Caenorhabditis elegans: one gene and its partner. The protein of the gene in region 1 interacts with the protein of each later gene in a pairwise test. Each region holds a gene or a part of one and is shown in the gene's direction. Other genes may lie near its edges.

Region 1 (7,232 bases):
ATTTTTTGCTTCTCTCCTAACAGACACATTTTCTGTCTTCCCACCCTTTGAAGATTGGCTCTTAGTAGTTGAAAGAAATGGAACAATGATTGGCTCAATTTTATCTATAAAAAGATTATTGCCATGATCATGGGATCTGTAAAATTGAAGAAAATGCCTATGTTTTATGGTGCATAGAAAATACAAAACTTGGCAAGCACCATAATAATCTTAGAAAACTCTAATCGTTAGAGCAGTAGTAGTCAAGATGCACACTCAGATTTCCAACAAATGTTCTCAATTTCTTTTTTCACCCACACTTCTTCTAATGGATCCCATGAGAATAAGTGAATTGTCTGACTTTCTGAACCTTTATCTCCTTCTTTTTCTCTTATTTCTTCCCACCCCATCCCAATGCATTTCAGATAATCTCCGCACATCTTTATGATGATGTTTCATCCTTCCTTTTCTTTTCATTTTCTTCAACTATTCTCGATTGTTTAGATTCTTCGCGACACCCATCTGTTCTCTTGAAATATTGAGACAGTTTATGGAAATTGGAGACGCAGACAGTGCTTCAAAGCTTCATTCTCCTTGTGGTCCTGCTCGTCCCATTTTAGGCAAAACACACGCGATTGTCGTCCCTTCTTCTGTCGTTTCCTTCCTCCGTTTCTGAAGCAAACTTTTCGTTTCGAATTCCCTTTTTCTTCTTCTTCTTTCTGTTTTCTATTCCACCAATTGAATCTGTTTCTGAATTCGATTTACCTAATTTTCTCTCGAAGCTTCTGTTTGCTTGGTATTTCAAAATTATATCATCACTTGAAATCCAAAAGTCCCTTGTAACATTTCAACTGAGTTTGTTATAGTTGAAAAATGCACAATTCTCCCAGAAAATGACTTAAGCTTACTGGCTGAATGTTAAAAAAATGATCACTGTGTTGTGCAGTTTGAAACCAAATAAAGTTCTAATATTTTGAAGGCCCGAGAGGACTGAATCATTTTTTAGTTTCTTTCTTGATTGATATAGGCCATTTTCGGTAGTTTCCTGATTCTATAAATTAACTAATTATTTGAATTTAGTGTGGTGAGGCTGTGGAAAGTTAATTGAACCAAAAGAAACAGAAATCTCGATTGATTTTGGCTAATTTTATATGTTGTTGGGATATTTTCTACTGTTGCATAGGTTACTTTTTTGTAAAATTATTCAAAGTTTTCTTTAAAATCAAGTTTTAAAAACATTAAGTTTATAAACTTCTAAATAGTACTGTCAAAACGAAGATCCTTGTTAAGTATATTCACAAGTTTCGGTAAATTCGAATGACCTTATTGCTAACCCAACCACATCCTAAAACATGTTCTTCGATTTATTTTCATTCACCATTCTTTGCATACGACAGAACATGTGTTAAGCTTTAAGACGGTTTTAGGTTGTACAAAACCATAAAAAACGCAGAAAATCACTAACCATGTCAGCTTTTGGTACGAAAACCAACGCTGTGTGAAATGTTGAAACTTGTTCTTGAAAAACTTCTCTAACTCTTAATTATACTTTTTCCCTTGTAGAAAACCTTCGATTAGTTTCTCATTTAGATACATGGCTCTAACTTCAACACTATCCACATTCCATATCTGACGCCATTTATTTTTTCTAAAGAGTGACTGTATAAGCCCTTTTGAGTACCTTTTTTGCCCGTAAAATCTGGCCGCCGTTCCCTTTTGATCGGATTCCTCTTTGCAATACCTACCAATACAATACAGACACACATAGTGTTGAGAGATCTAGACGGAGAAATGGAAGAAAACCGAAACCGCAAAATAAACACTGCGTGTTGTTCTGTTTTGCTGTACTCGTCTCCTTTTTGGAAGAAAAGTTGATGGGAATAGGTTCCAATTTTTGATTGGACAAGTATGATTCGATGTAACCCGTGCTCCATTGGCTCCACAAAGTCAACAAAAAGTCTATACTGAAGCCAATTTTGTACTTTTCACATATCTACAATGTCAAACATTTTAAAACGTTGTCTGTAACCATTTTTTCAGCTTCGGAGTATTATCTTGTGGTACTTTCGGACAGCTCTTACGAGATCTACATTTTTTTACGAGGTGACTTCGATTCTTCTTTTGTTTTTTTTTCCAAAAAATTTGTAGTCTTCTATTTTTGTTTCGTTTTTTTTCTAACTTCTTCTACTTCTTCTACTTCTTTGATTACACTTTTCTCACGAAATTTCAATTTCTTCTTTTTTCCGTGTGGTGGCTCCTTTCTTTCCTATTCGCTAACTGCTTCTTCATGAATAGCTAACTTTTTTCTTCTCTTCATTTTACTTCTTTTTCTTTTTTTTCCATTCCTTCTTTGGGACAGGGTTATTTGAAATTAGTGGTCGTATAACTAACCTTTTGATGAAAAACCAAGGACGTTTTGCACTTTTTTCATGTAAAAAAAGCGTAGAAGGACAAGCCTTTTGTTCACTTTTCATGTTTTCTAATCGAGATAACTTGGAACTTTTAGGGCAGTGTATTGCTTACTGATGTTCTATATCTAGTTTTTCGATTTTGGAAAATTGGAAATCATCGTTTATGGTTTTGTCCTCGACTTCCAGAAAACTGAATAATCGCCACTTTTTGACGGTTCTCAAGGTTACTATATAAAAGTTAAGCATCCAGGTGTCAATTAAAATGGAGTTCAGATTGCTAGCAAAAAACCAATGTCATGAGCTTTCAAAACGGAGCCGATAAAACGACAATTTTGTATAGGCTGCAGGTTTTTATTCATCTTGCAAAATGTGATATGCTCTAGATGTTTTTGTTACATACCTAACTAGAATAAGCTTTACTGTAGCTGTTTTAGAAATGAAGGTTCCGAAAACAAATAATGAATAGCATGAAATTATTCTGCTCGAGTCTCTAGCCGAGATCTAAAATTATCAAATTATTATGATCCGATGCCCCATTCGTTTTAAAGCTCTGAGGAACATCTTGCAACTTCAATTGCCCTTCAAAATTTCTCTCCAATCAATCTCTGTGTTTATGTGTTATTGTTGTTACTCTCTGGTCATAGAAGAATCTTTGTCTGTGAGCACATGTGTCATCTCTTCTCTCTCTCTCTCTCTTTTCCTGTTTTCTATCTTTCCCAAAGTTCAATCCTCATCTTCGTCGTGTTTTTTCTCTGAATCATCTGACTTTTTTCCCAGTTTTTTTCATGAATTCCCTGATATTTCAGAATCATTTCGCAATGCTTCTTCTCAACATCTTGTCTTCTTTATAATCCATTCGGGATTATAAAGGAACCTTATTCTTCCAGTCTTTCCCGCCTCCCTTTTTTACTTTCATTCCCCTTCGTTACATCACCAAAACCCGTTCTTCCTGTCTTCAATCTATCTGTATTACGTTATCAATGAAAAAAACATACATCTCCGTTTCTTTTTCATCTACAGACATCTTCTCTTTTCTATCATTGACATACATTAATACTTTACTTTAATTTCAGAATTAAAACTATCAAAGCAATACAAATTATGCAAAAATGGTTGATACAATTTCTGTTCTGAACCCAATTCATCTCGATTTGTCAGTCGATCCCCAGGATAATGTGAGGTAAGATGTTTATATTAATTAATTTACTGACAATTTGTAAATGATTCTTATTATACACTTTTATGTAATTTCTTTTAATGAAATATAATTCATTATATAGTATTTTATGACCACAGTAGTCCACATGTAACTGTGCTTCTTCTTCTCCGGTTTCATAGGTTCCTTAAAGAGTAATTTTCGTGAATCTGCGGAACGAAGTGCCGAACTTTTCATTGTTAATGCCTTGCCTTTCTTTGTGGAACACTACCATTTTCACTTTTACCCATGTTTGATATCTCTAGACTCTGGCAACTGAATTGCCTACAAAAACAATACAAATCTAACTCAACAATGCTGTCATCCCTAAACATTATTCGAGTAACTCTTTCAAACTTAAATTTTCAGAATCTCCGCCAGAAGCACAACATCATCATCTGCCTCGACATCATCCGACTCTGAGCTAATGAGTCCTAGGGCTGAGGAGCTTTTGAGAATGCAGGCTGAGCTCAGAGCAACACGAACGGCGCTTGCTGAAAAAGATAAAAAGATGACACAAATTCAAGTGACAGTGGATGCAGAAGTTCAAGAACTTACTGAAAAATTATTTCAGGTAAGACCAGTACAACTCCGATCCTGAGAAATTAGCTTATAAAAATTCTCGATTTTGATTTTCAAAATTTCATAAGATAATTTAAATTTTTAGAAAGTTGACCAAGTAAAAAAGATAAGAATGATATTGAAAACCGATGAAAAAGTCTCAAAACTCCCATCACATCTTCAAGTTTACAGGAGGCGTACAAAATGGTAAACACAGCAGAAGCTCGTCGTGAGAAAGCAGAAAAACTACTAACCGAATCAAGACTTGAAGTTGAAGTTCTTCAAGCAGAAGTACGTGCATTGAAAGAATTGATATCTGCTCCAGGAATGGGTCAAAACCATTTCAAGCAGACAACATCTCCAGAACATAAATCAACTTTATCAAAACTATTCAATGGATCAAGTTCATCATCAAAAAAACAAAAAGACGCTGCAAATGTATCAGATAAAAAGAAAGCTTCATCACTTCCATCTACATCAACATATACACTAACACCATCAGAAGATAGAGAACAAAAAGAAGCAAATGCAGTTGAAGAGATCGATCCAATTCTTTTTTCTGAATTTGAATTTTGGAGAGAAGCTGGACATCCGACGACATCTCATCCATTTATTGATAGAGTTACCGTTGAAGAAGTTGAACCATGTATGCTATTCGAAAACTCTGAGTTATCAGAAGAAATAATGAAGGCAATTCGAGAGAATCGTGTTCAACTTGAACCATTAAATGAACTGAAACCATCTGTAAGGATTTGTGCATTAACAAATGCTTCAAGGTTTTGTCCGTATCGAGTAAGAACTGGTGATGAGGAACAAGAATGGCATTATGTTTCGTTAATTGCCAGGAATAGGGTGAGTTATTCCACTTTTCTTGGTCTCGGAACGATTGATAATTTTAATTGAGACTGCCAAAAAGGTGCGCGCCTTTAAAGAGTACGGTAGTTTTCACTTCTCACAGTTTTGCCATTCTATTCGTTATTTTCTTTCGAAACCCTTTACTTAGAAAACGTAATAGAAACTACCTTACTCGTTAAAGGCACACTTTTTTTCGCAACCTGAATTTCAAAACTTTCAGTCGTGCCGAGACCTGGTACCGTAATCTTGATTTCTCAATTAACTCAAGATTTACAGATTGCCGCAGTCTGTGACTTCTTCACGTGTATCCGATACTTGTCCCAAGGTTTGATCAAACCCGGGCCTCGAGATTCATATTTTCACGTTGTAAACTTGCGGAAAAACATGTCACTTGCCAAACTGGGGCTAGGATTTGTCCCGCGTTCCAACATACGCCATCATTGAATTAATAGTATTTTACCATAATTTGAAACTACAGGTCTTTCACACTTTTTATACAAATAAATAATTCAATTACAAATTTTTTGGTGGTATAAATTATTCGTTTTTACATTTTACAAAAAAACAACTATAAAACGGATCATCTCAAGAACATTGGGATAAGGCAATAGAACAACCAATCATTAAGCGGATAGAAATTAAATAAAACGAGATTTTTGAAGACAAAAAAGGAAGGAAAGAAAGAACAGAACAGGATAGAAGAAAAGGAAGAAAAATCACAGAATTATAGAGAGAAAGACACACCTCGTGTTTGCAGCTAAACAAAATATGGAGAATTAAAATGTATTACGAGTGCCCAGAAATCATCTACAATTCTAGAAAATTAAGATTTTAGACAATTTGTTCTGGGCTCATTTTGGATGATAAATCTTCGAATTCACGTGAATTTGATCACTTTTTCTGTTGCAATTGATTCGCCAGCCAATCCATCGCTGGGTCGAGCCCTTCTCCTTTTGAAGCAGATGTCTTGAAAATTTGAATGGTACGATTACGAAGAGCATCCAATCCCAATGCTTTGTACACTTCAGTTTCAGTCAAACATCCAGCAATATCTTGTTTATTGGCTAAAACTGCTAAAACAGCTCCTTGAAGTTCATCCTCTTGTAGCATTGTTGCAAGTTCTTGACGAGAGATTCCAACCTAAAACAGTTGATATTAAAATCCTTACTACAAAAAATAAAATAAAATTTCAAACTTACTCGATCTCTATCAGCAGAATCCACAACATAAATGATTGCATCAGTATTCGCATAATAGCATCTCCAATAAGGCCGTATCGATGTTTGTCCTCCAAGATCCCAGACTTGGAATTTCAAATTTTTGTACTCGACTTGTTCCACGTTAAAACCAATTGTTGGAATCGTGGTCACAACTTCACCGACCTGAAACTTAGCTTATATGGTTTTGTTTTCAGCCAGAAATAAAAACCTGCAGCCTATACAAAATTGTCGTTTTACCGGCTCCATCAAGTCCCAAGATGAGAATACGCATTTCGCGGGCGCCAAAGAGGCCACGAAAATATGACATTACTCCTCCCATTGCTTCTGATCTGAACACAGATATTTAAATTGAAATCGGAAATATTTTGAAACGTTTTGAAAAATAGGAATACAAGTAAACGTGGATTTACGAGCAAAAAACGTAGAAGGCTAGAAAATAAATTCTTAATTTTTTCTTATAAATAGTCTTAAATATTAGCGAAATAAATTAAAATAACACCAAAATCCTCTCATTTTACACTGGAAAGCACCATTCCGTACTTTTCAAAGACAAAAGAGACGGAAGAGATTGGTGCAAAAGGAGCCAGGAAGGATGGACCTAGCAAGGGTCGAAGAACTCTCTCAAAAATGCTCACTGACTATGTTTTTGGAGAGAAGCGAGCACTAAATATGTCAGTCTGTGAAATGAAGAAAGAAGGTTAGGATTTGAAAGTGTGGGAGAATGAGGAAGTAGGTGAGTTGCGAAAAATTTTAATAATAAAGATAATATAAAGGTAAAATTAACCTTTAAAGGAAAAAAAAAACTTAATCAAAATGCAAAAAAAACACTTCATTTTCCTCATAATAATAAAAAAAATAACAGTAACAAAACACAAAAATAACAATTAGAATGAACTAATAAAACAAAACAATTAGGAAAAAAACAACCGGATGATTATTGTCCATAAACGAGTCCCTTCTTGAGACGACTTGGGTTCAATCCATAAGCTTTCACGCGAGAATCCGTCATTC
Region 2 (6,704 bases), on another chromosome or scaffold:
CGTTTTATCCTTTTTAGAACTCTAGTTATGATCAAAATCACGAATAAACCACGTAAAAAGTCAAAAGGGACCTCACTATTAAGGTTTTTATGAAAATTCCCAAGATTCTGCTGGAAAAATGAGTTAAATTTGATTGTTGAAGTGAAAAAAAATGTTGCGAATGGCCTTGCGGACTACGGTGGATTTTTCTGTGCATACACCGTCACGTCTGATTGCGTATCGTGGCGAGACCCATCGAACCTCAACGCATGGCTTTTTCCGCTATCCTAAAATTTTTTCACGATTTTCGCCTGATTTTTCACGTTTTTGCGCGATTTTTTGCATAAAATTGATTGAATTTTTAATTTTTAAACGATTAATAGTGCTAATTATCGATTGTAGTTCTTATTCTGCGAGATTTGTCAGAAACTAGGTAGGAAAAGTGGAAAAATGTTCCCAAAATCCAAATTTGTCTATTTCTCAACCAGAATTTCAGTTGTAGGGGGTCCCTCTTGATTTTCAACACAAGGAGTTTAATTATTACCGGTAGATTGTTTAAGCATGCTAGCTCGGGTATGGGTCCGTGGACTTGCAGCCACAAAGAAAAAACCGCAAGTTCTCGTCAAAGATGGACCATCGCTTCAGGATTTTATTTCATCAGGTAAAACTCAAACAATATTGTTTCATAATCAAATAATTATTAATTTTAGCATCCGTGGCAGAGGCTGTTGAGAAGTACGAAGGAAAACTGAAGCTGGAGAAAGGGGACAGACGTTTGCGACTTCCACCATGGCTCAAGAAAGAAAAGGTATAGCCTATCAATTTTTTGCCCCTCATCACAATTGTTTTCAGATTCTTCCATCGGAAAACGAAAATGTCAGTCGTCTAAAAAAGCAGTTGAAACATCTCAAACTAGCGACTGTTTGTCAGGAAGCACGGTGCCCAAATCTTGGAGAATGCTGGGGAGGATCAGATGACAGTCTAGCAACAGCGACAATCATGTTGATGGGAGATACCTGCACTCGGGGTTGTAAATTCTGTTCGGTCAAAACTGCTCGAGCTCCTCCACCATTGGATCCTATGGAACCGGAAAATACGTCGACCGCCGTTGCTTCATGGGGTGTCGAATACATTGTTTTAACATCAGTTGACAGGTAACTTATTCGTATCTTGAGCTTTTAATCAAAGTAATTTTCAGGGATGATTTGCCAGACGGTGGAGCCGATCATCTTCGCAAGACAGTACAGCTGATGAAGCTCAAGAAGCCTGAACTTCTCATCGAATGCTTATTGCCCGATTTCGCTGGAGATAAGATCAGTGTGGAGAAAATGGCTACCAGTGGACTCGATGTATATGCACATAACATTGAAACGGTTGAAAGACTGACTCCATGGGTCAGAGATCCACGAGCTAAATATCGGCAGTCTTTGGACGGTAAGCAGCTTTTTTTTTTTTCAGAATCTCGTAAATATTATTGAATATTTTTTAAGCTCTTCGATACGCAAAGGAAGTCAGCCCAAAGCTAATCACGAAGACATCGATTATGCTAGGACTGGGCGAAGCTGAAGACGAGATAAAGCAGTGCTTGGCCGATCTTCGAGCTAGCAATGTTGACGTTGTCACTTTCGGTCAATACATGCAGCCGACAAAACGTCATTTGCTTGTCAAAGAATGGGTGACCCCCGAGAAATTCGACCAGTGGGCAGAATATTCGAAAAAACTGGGATTCCTTTACGTTGCATCTGGCCCTCTTGTTCGCTCTTCGTACAAAGCCGGAGAATTCTATTTGAAAAATGTGTTGAGAAATAGACAAAATTAAGATTACTGAAATATGTAAATATTAGAAGAATTTGTGCGGGATTCTTGCCAAATAAATTCTCGAAATAGTTTTCATATATTTATTGTTATGCGCGTTCTCTCGCTTCGATTTATCTCTCTTCCTTTACTCTCGTGTATTTCTAAACTTTCCCCTTCTTATCAGTATTTATTTCAGGGTAAACGATGGGTCTGTCGAACAGAGCAATCATCATTGACGGAAAGAACCACCTTCTCGGTCGGTTGGCTTCCATCGTTGCAAAGAAGCTTCTCCAAGGAGACAAGGTTGTCGTCCTCAGAGCTGAAGAGATCGTCATCTCCGGAAACTTCCACCGTTCCAAGCTGAAGTACATGAGCTTCCTCCGCAAGCGTTGTAACATCAACCCAGCCCGTGGAGCCTTCCATTACCGTGCTCCAGGAAAGATCTTCTGGCGTACCGTCAGAGGTGAGTGATTTTAAACATTATCTGTACTTAAATTAATAAATTCTCTATTCAGGAATGCTCCCACACAAGACCAACCGCGGAAACGAGGCTCTCAAGAACCTCCGCGCCTACGAAGGAGTTCCAGCCAAATACCAGAAGACCAAGTCTCTCCATGCCCCATCAGCCAGCAGATTCCGACTTCAACCAAGAAGAAAGTTCTGCGTCGGTGAGTTATTATAATTTTTTTGATCACAACGATTATTTAATTTTCAGTTGGACGCTTATCGCACGAGGTCGGATGGCAATTCCAGGATGTTGTTGCCAAGCTCGAGGCTAAGAGAAAGGTGAAGGGAGCCGCCTACTTCGAACAGAAAAAGAAGATGGACAAGCTCGCCGTTCAAGCAAAGAAGAATGCCGCCCCAAAGATCGCTCAATACCAGAAGATCATCGAGGCTCTTGGATACAATTAAATCCATGCACAAATCTGTTTTGTTTGGTATTATAAAATTGTTGACCATATCACTACTGTTTTTTCAAAACATATTCAGGTTACTTGTTGAGAGTCTTTGTTTCATATTTCTGTCTCACTGCATGTTTTCGAGAGGTCCCACGAAATTTATTTGGAAATTGCCAGTACATTTAAGGGCAGAGAAACTGAAGGTTTTTAATTTTAGATTTTACGGAAAATCGAAAAAACACTATTTTTACTAAAAAATTAAGAGATATTTTTATTAAAACACTGCTAGATCCACTTTATGCCGATCCTCTTCTCGTGGAGCCTCTTCTTTGAATATCATCTTTTATTAATATCAGAGCTACAAAATGGCTACAATCCTTCATAAGCAAGGTTCCGTCGTCGCTGTTTCACACGATATGATGATGGTTCGCTATGATGGAAAAGGTGTTCTTTTTAAGAAGGAATTGCTCACTCGTGGATATAAACATGACGATATAGTTCAATTCAATGCTAGAAAAGCTACAACTGTAAGCTTATTTCCAGGAAAACTTTAATAAAACCCGATGTTTCAGGTAGATATTGAAGTTGGCGATAAGCTATCACAAATGGCAAACTATGAACTCGCTTGGGTTGGCACTGAGCTTAAATTTATCAAACAAGGACGAATGTTGGTTGCTGAGGGTGCAGTTATCAATATTCCCGATGATAAAGCTCAGTATATGTTCGTTGACTGGAAATATACCAAAAATCCGCCAACTCTTGCCAAGGTTTGTGGAAACGTGGAATAACGAGCAATTTTAATACGAAATTAACTATTAAGACTACAAAATTCAGATTCCAGGCTATACTAAGCCTTTGACAACCAATGTATTCGTGACTCGAGCCACTGTTCGTCCTGACGTTGAGAAGTTGACTGAAATGTTTAAGCCGGGCCAACGTGTCAAATTTGTTGCACGAGAGCAAGCGCCGAATGAGAGAGGAGTCTGTTGGAGAGCCGCGTTGGCTACTGATGAATATCATGATATTGCGGTATTGAAATTTTGAGAAAAACGTCAAAAATTTTGTTGAAATTTAAAATTTCGTCAGCTTGTCGTTTTCGCAGTCGTTTTCGAATTCAGTTTTATTGAATTTTCCCTTTTTTTTTAACATTTTTGGGAAGTTTTTCGCTGATTTAGGCGCTTTTTTAGTCGCTGGGCATTCAATTTGCTTAAAATAACTGATAAACAGCCAAAATATGTGATAATTCAAAAAAAAACTATATTCAAGCTGCGGAAATTTCAGATTTTTTCAAAGTTTGGCTCTTTTTTCGCAATTTTTGAGGATTTTCAAACTTTAATCGACTTTATGAAGCATTATTTTCGGAAAGTCTAAAAATTTCCTATTGCACCATATTTTCCCAACATTTTTCTTTAAAAACTAGTGTAAAAATATAGAAATTCACTTGATTTATCTGAAAAAAACGTTGATTTCAGTTGAAACATTTGAAAATGTGCTTCAAAATTAATTGTAAGATGCAAATCACTGATTTGCACTTTCCAGGTAATTTTATAGTACATTTTCAAATTTTTCAACTAAAATCAACGTTATTTTCAGAAAAATCAAGGGATTTTCTATTTTTTCACACTAATTTTTAATGAAAAATGTTGGAAAAACATGGATAGGCAATAGGTAATTTTCTAGAATTTCTGCGGTGTTCAATCGAAAAAAAAATTGGAAAACCCTCAAAAAATGCCAGAAGAAGAGCCAAATTATAGCTAATACGTAGTTATATGTCGAAAAAATTCCGTATTATGGTAAATATCTAATTAATTTATTTTCAGATAGATGTTCCCAACGCTCACGGCCGCCAAACTTATCGAGTAATTCCAAAAGCCGGAGTTTGTCCGCCAGCTCCCCTTCAACAACGTCCTTTAGCTCCTCCAAACCCCCAAGTTCCGTCTACTTCCGCTTGGAACATAGCCCCCACTCCAACTCCAGTCACTGTACAGAGACCTTTGAGAAAACCGGTTACTCCACAACCAGTTAAAAGTGCATTTCAAGCTCAGAAGCCACCACCAATCGATGGATTCGACTATTTTGATAGTTCAAAGGAGGCTTGTGCGGCGAGATTCCGGAACTTTGGTTAGAAATTCGAAATATTATTGGGACGCAGAAAAATTTCCAATTCAATATGAACGCTCCGCCCCGAACAGATGGGTCTCGTTGGGTATTTGGTGGAAAATGCGAAAATTCAAAGATTTTCAATCATTTTTTGTCTTTTTTGTTACATTTTCAGCCGTTTTCAATGATTTCTAAATCTACGCGGTGTGAGAATGTCTCACTGCGGTTTGATCTACGAAAAATGCGGGAATATTTTTCCAGAAAAATTGTGACGTCATCACGCTCTTAATTATGCGAAATCGGATGAGATGTCTGCGCATCTTCTCCCGCATTTTTGGAAGATCAAAGCGTAATGGGACTTTCTGACTCCACGTGAAGTCGAGATGATGGCTTAAAAATATTATTTGTCCAAATAATTATCGATTTTCGGCATAAAACTTATTAAAACCCGCGGAAAATTAAGCAAAAAAGACGAAAAAAATGCTTAAAAACGCTTGAATTTGAGGTCCCACGAAAAATGAGGTGAACGAAAAGGAGATCTGAAAAAAAAATGCAATTTTTCTTCTGCAACGCACGTTGATATTTGAAATTTTTCTTCTGGAAAACTCGCTAAACAACGCGAGATGCGGAATATCGGAGCATCGTTGTATCGTTCTCTTCGAGAAAAAATACGTTTTGTGCGTTTGGCACAATGCCAGATCTCCTTTTGCTAACTCCACTTTTCGTAGATCCCATTTTCGCAGATCCTCTTTCCGTGGGGCCTCTCGAATTTCCGGGTTTGAGGCCCCACGAAAGCGGGAACTGAACGAAAAGGGGAAATGCGAAAAGGGAAAATTGGCACCGTGCCAACGCATAAAACGCTTTTTTTCTCATTCAACGCACGACTTTTTTCGAACTTTTCTTCTAGAAGATACGCTTAACAACACGCGACGCTTAATTTCGGAGCATCGTTGTACCGTTTTCTTCGAGAAAAAGTGCGTTTTATGCGTTGGCACGGTGCCAATTTCCCCTTTTCGTTCAGTTCCCCTTTTCGTGGGGCCTCCCGGGTTTGCCGCCAAATACCTAACGAGATCCAACTGTAAGAGGCGGAGCGTTTGAAATTGGCAGTGGAGCGCGTTTTAAACGTCGATTTCAGAGTGAACCGTGTTCCCATAATATTAACGGTTTCCAATAAAATACTTTAATTTTCAGCAAACACCTACCGTAAGAACAATCCGAATTGCATTTTCTCGCAGCCTTGCTTCGAAGGAGCTCTGAAAATCAAATATCTCAATCAGATACACGAAGAATTGACTGTCATGCGTGAAGGAGAAGTCGATGTTTAATATTTTATCTTTAAAATTATTTATTTTTTTTATTTCGCATCCCACGTGTATATTTTACCGGTATTCAAATCCCCCTCGGGTACGAAATGAATTGAATTTTGTTATTTTTTTTTGTGTTTTTTCCCATTATTTCCTTATTTTCTCCTAAATTATCAGATTTGAGTTCTGGATTATGTATCTGCTTCAATATTTGTCTATTTTACAGATTCTCATATGAAAATAGGTTTTTTTAAAATATTTATCTCAGAAATTCAATTTTTTTCGATTTTTCGATTTAACAAAACCCAAAATGTTGATTAAAATAGCGGAAAAATCGCACTTTTTCTCAAAAAAAAATTGTAAAGAGCTGGAAATATAGCGCAAAAAAATCTATTTAAAAGTTTTATTATAAAAACCGAAAAAAAATCTGAAAATTGCAGAATGCTGGAGGTTTCAGCCACATTGGATCGTGAGGTGGCAATATATTTGGCCGGCGAAACCATTCGAATCACTGTGACAGTGAGCAATTTGTCACGTGGAAAACAAGGAGTTGTCGAGCAACTGGCATGGGGAAGCCTTCAGCTTATTTGCGGTAATTTTATGGAAAGTTGGCAAAAAATTAAAA

Evidence for each region.
Region 2: the proteins of rabi-1 (region 1) and M01F1.8 interact in a two-hybrid assay, tested with the Caenorhabditis elegans proteins (one large-scale study listed by BioGRID).

The regions. Positions count from the first base shown.
Region 1 is NC_003280.10:8,581,318-8,588,549, reverse strand, and holds rabi-1 (GDP/GTP exchange factor Sec2 N-terminal domain-containing protein), read left to right. Parts: upstream 1-3,463; 5' UTR 3,464-3,499; coding exon 3,500-3,570; intron 3,571-3,954; coding exon 3,955-4,159; intron 4,160-4,338; coding exon 4,339-4,998; intron 4,999-5,277; coding exon 5,278-5,445; 3' UTR 5,446-5,516; downstream 5,517-7,232. Other genes in the region: arl-1 (ADP-ribosylation factor-like protein 1), read right to left, coding at 5,893-6,141, 6,201-6,383, 6,430-6,540; F54C9.9 (Protein KRI1 homolog), read right to left, coding at 7,156-7,232.
Region 2 is NC_003281.10:3,498,873-3,505,576, reverse strand, and holds M01F1.8 (VWFD domain-containing protein), read left to right. Parts: upstream 1-3,031; 5' UTR 3,032-3,040; coding exon 3,041-3,202; intron 3,203-3,247; coding exon 3,248-3,442; intron 3,443-3,509; coding exon 3,510-3,704; intron 3,705-4,495; coding exon 4,496-4,796; intron 4,797-5,966; coding exon 5,967-6,100; 3' UTR 6,101-6,204; downstream 6,205-6,704. Other genes in the region: lias-1 (Lipoyl synthase, mitochondrial), read left to right, coding at 541-640, 690-787, 832-1,133, 1,178-1,413, 1,470-1,798; rpl-13A (Large ribosomal subunit protein uL13), read left to right, coding at 1,981-2,239, 2,292-2,444, 2,492-2,688; M01F1.9 (Arrestin_N domain-containing protein), read left to right, coding at 6,521-6,671.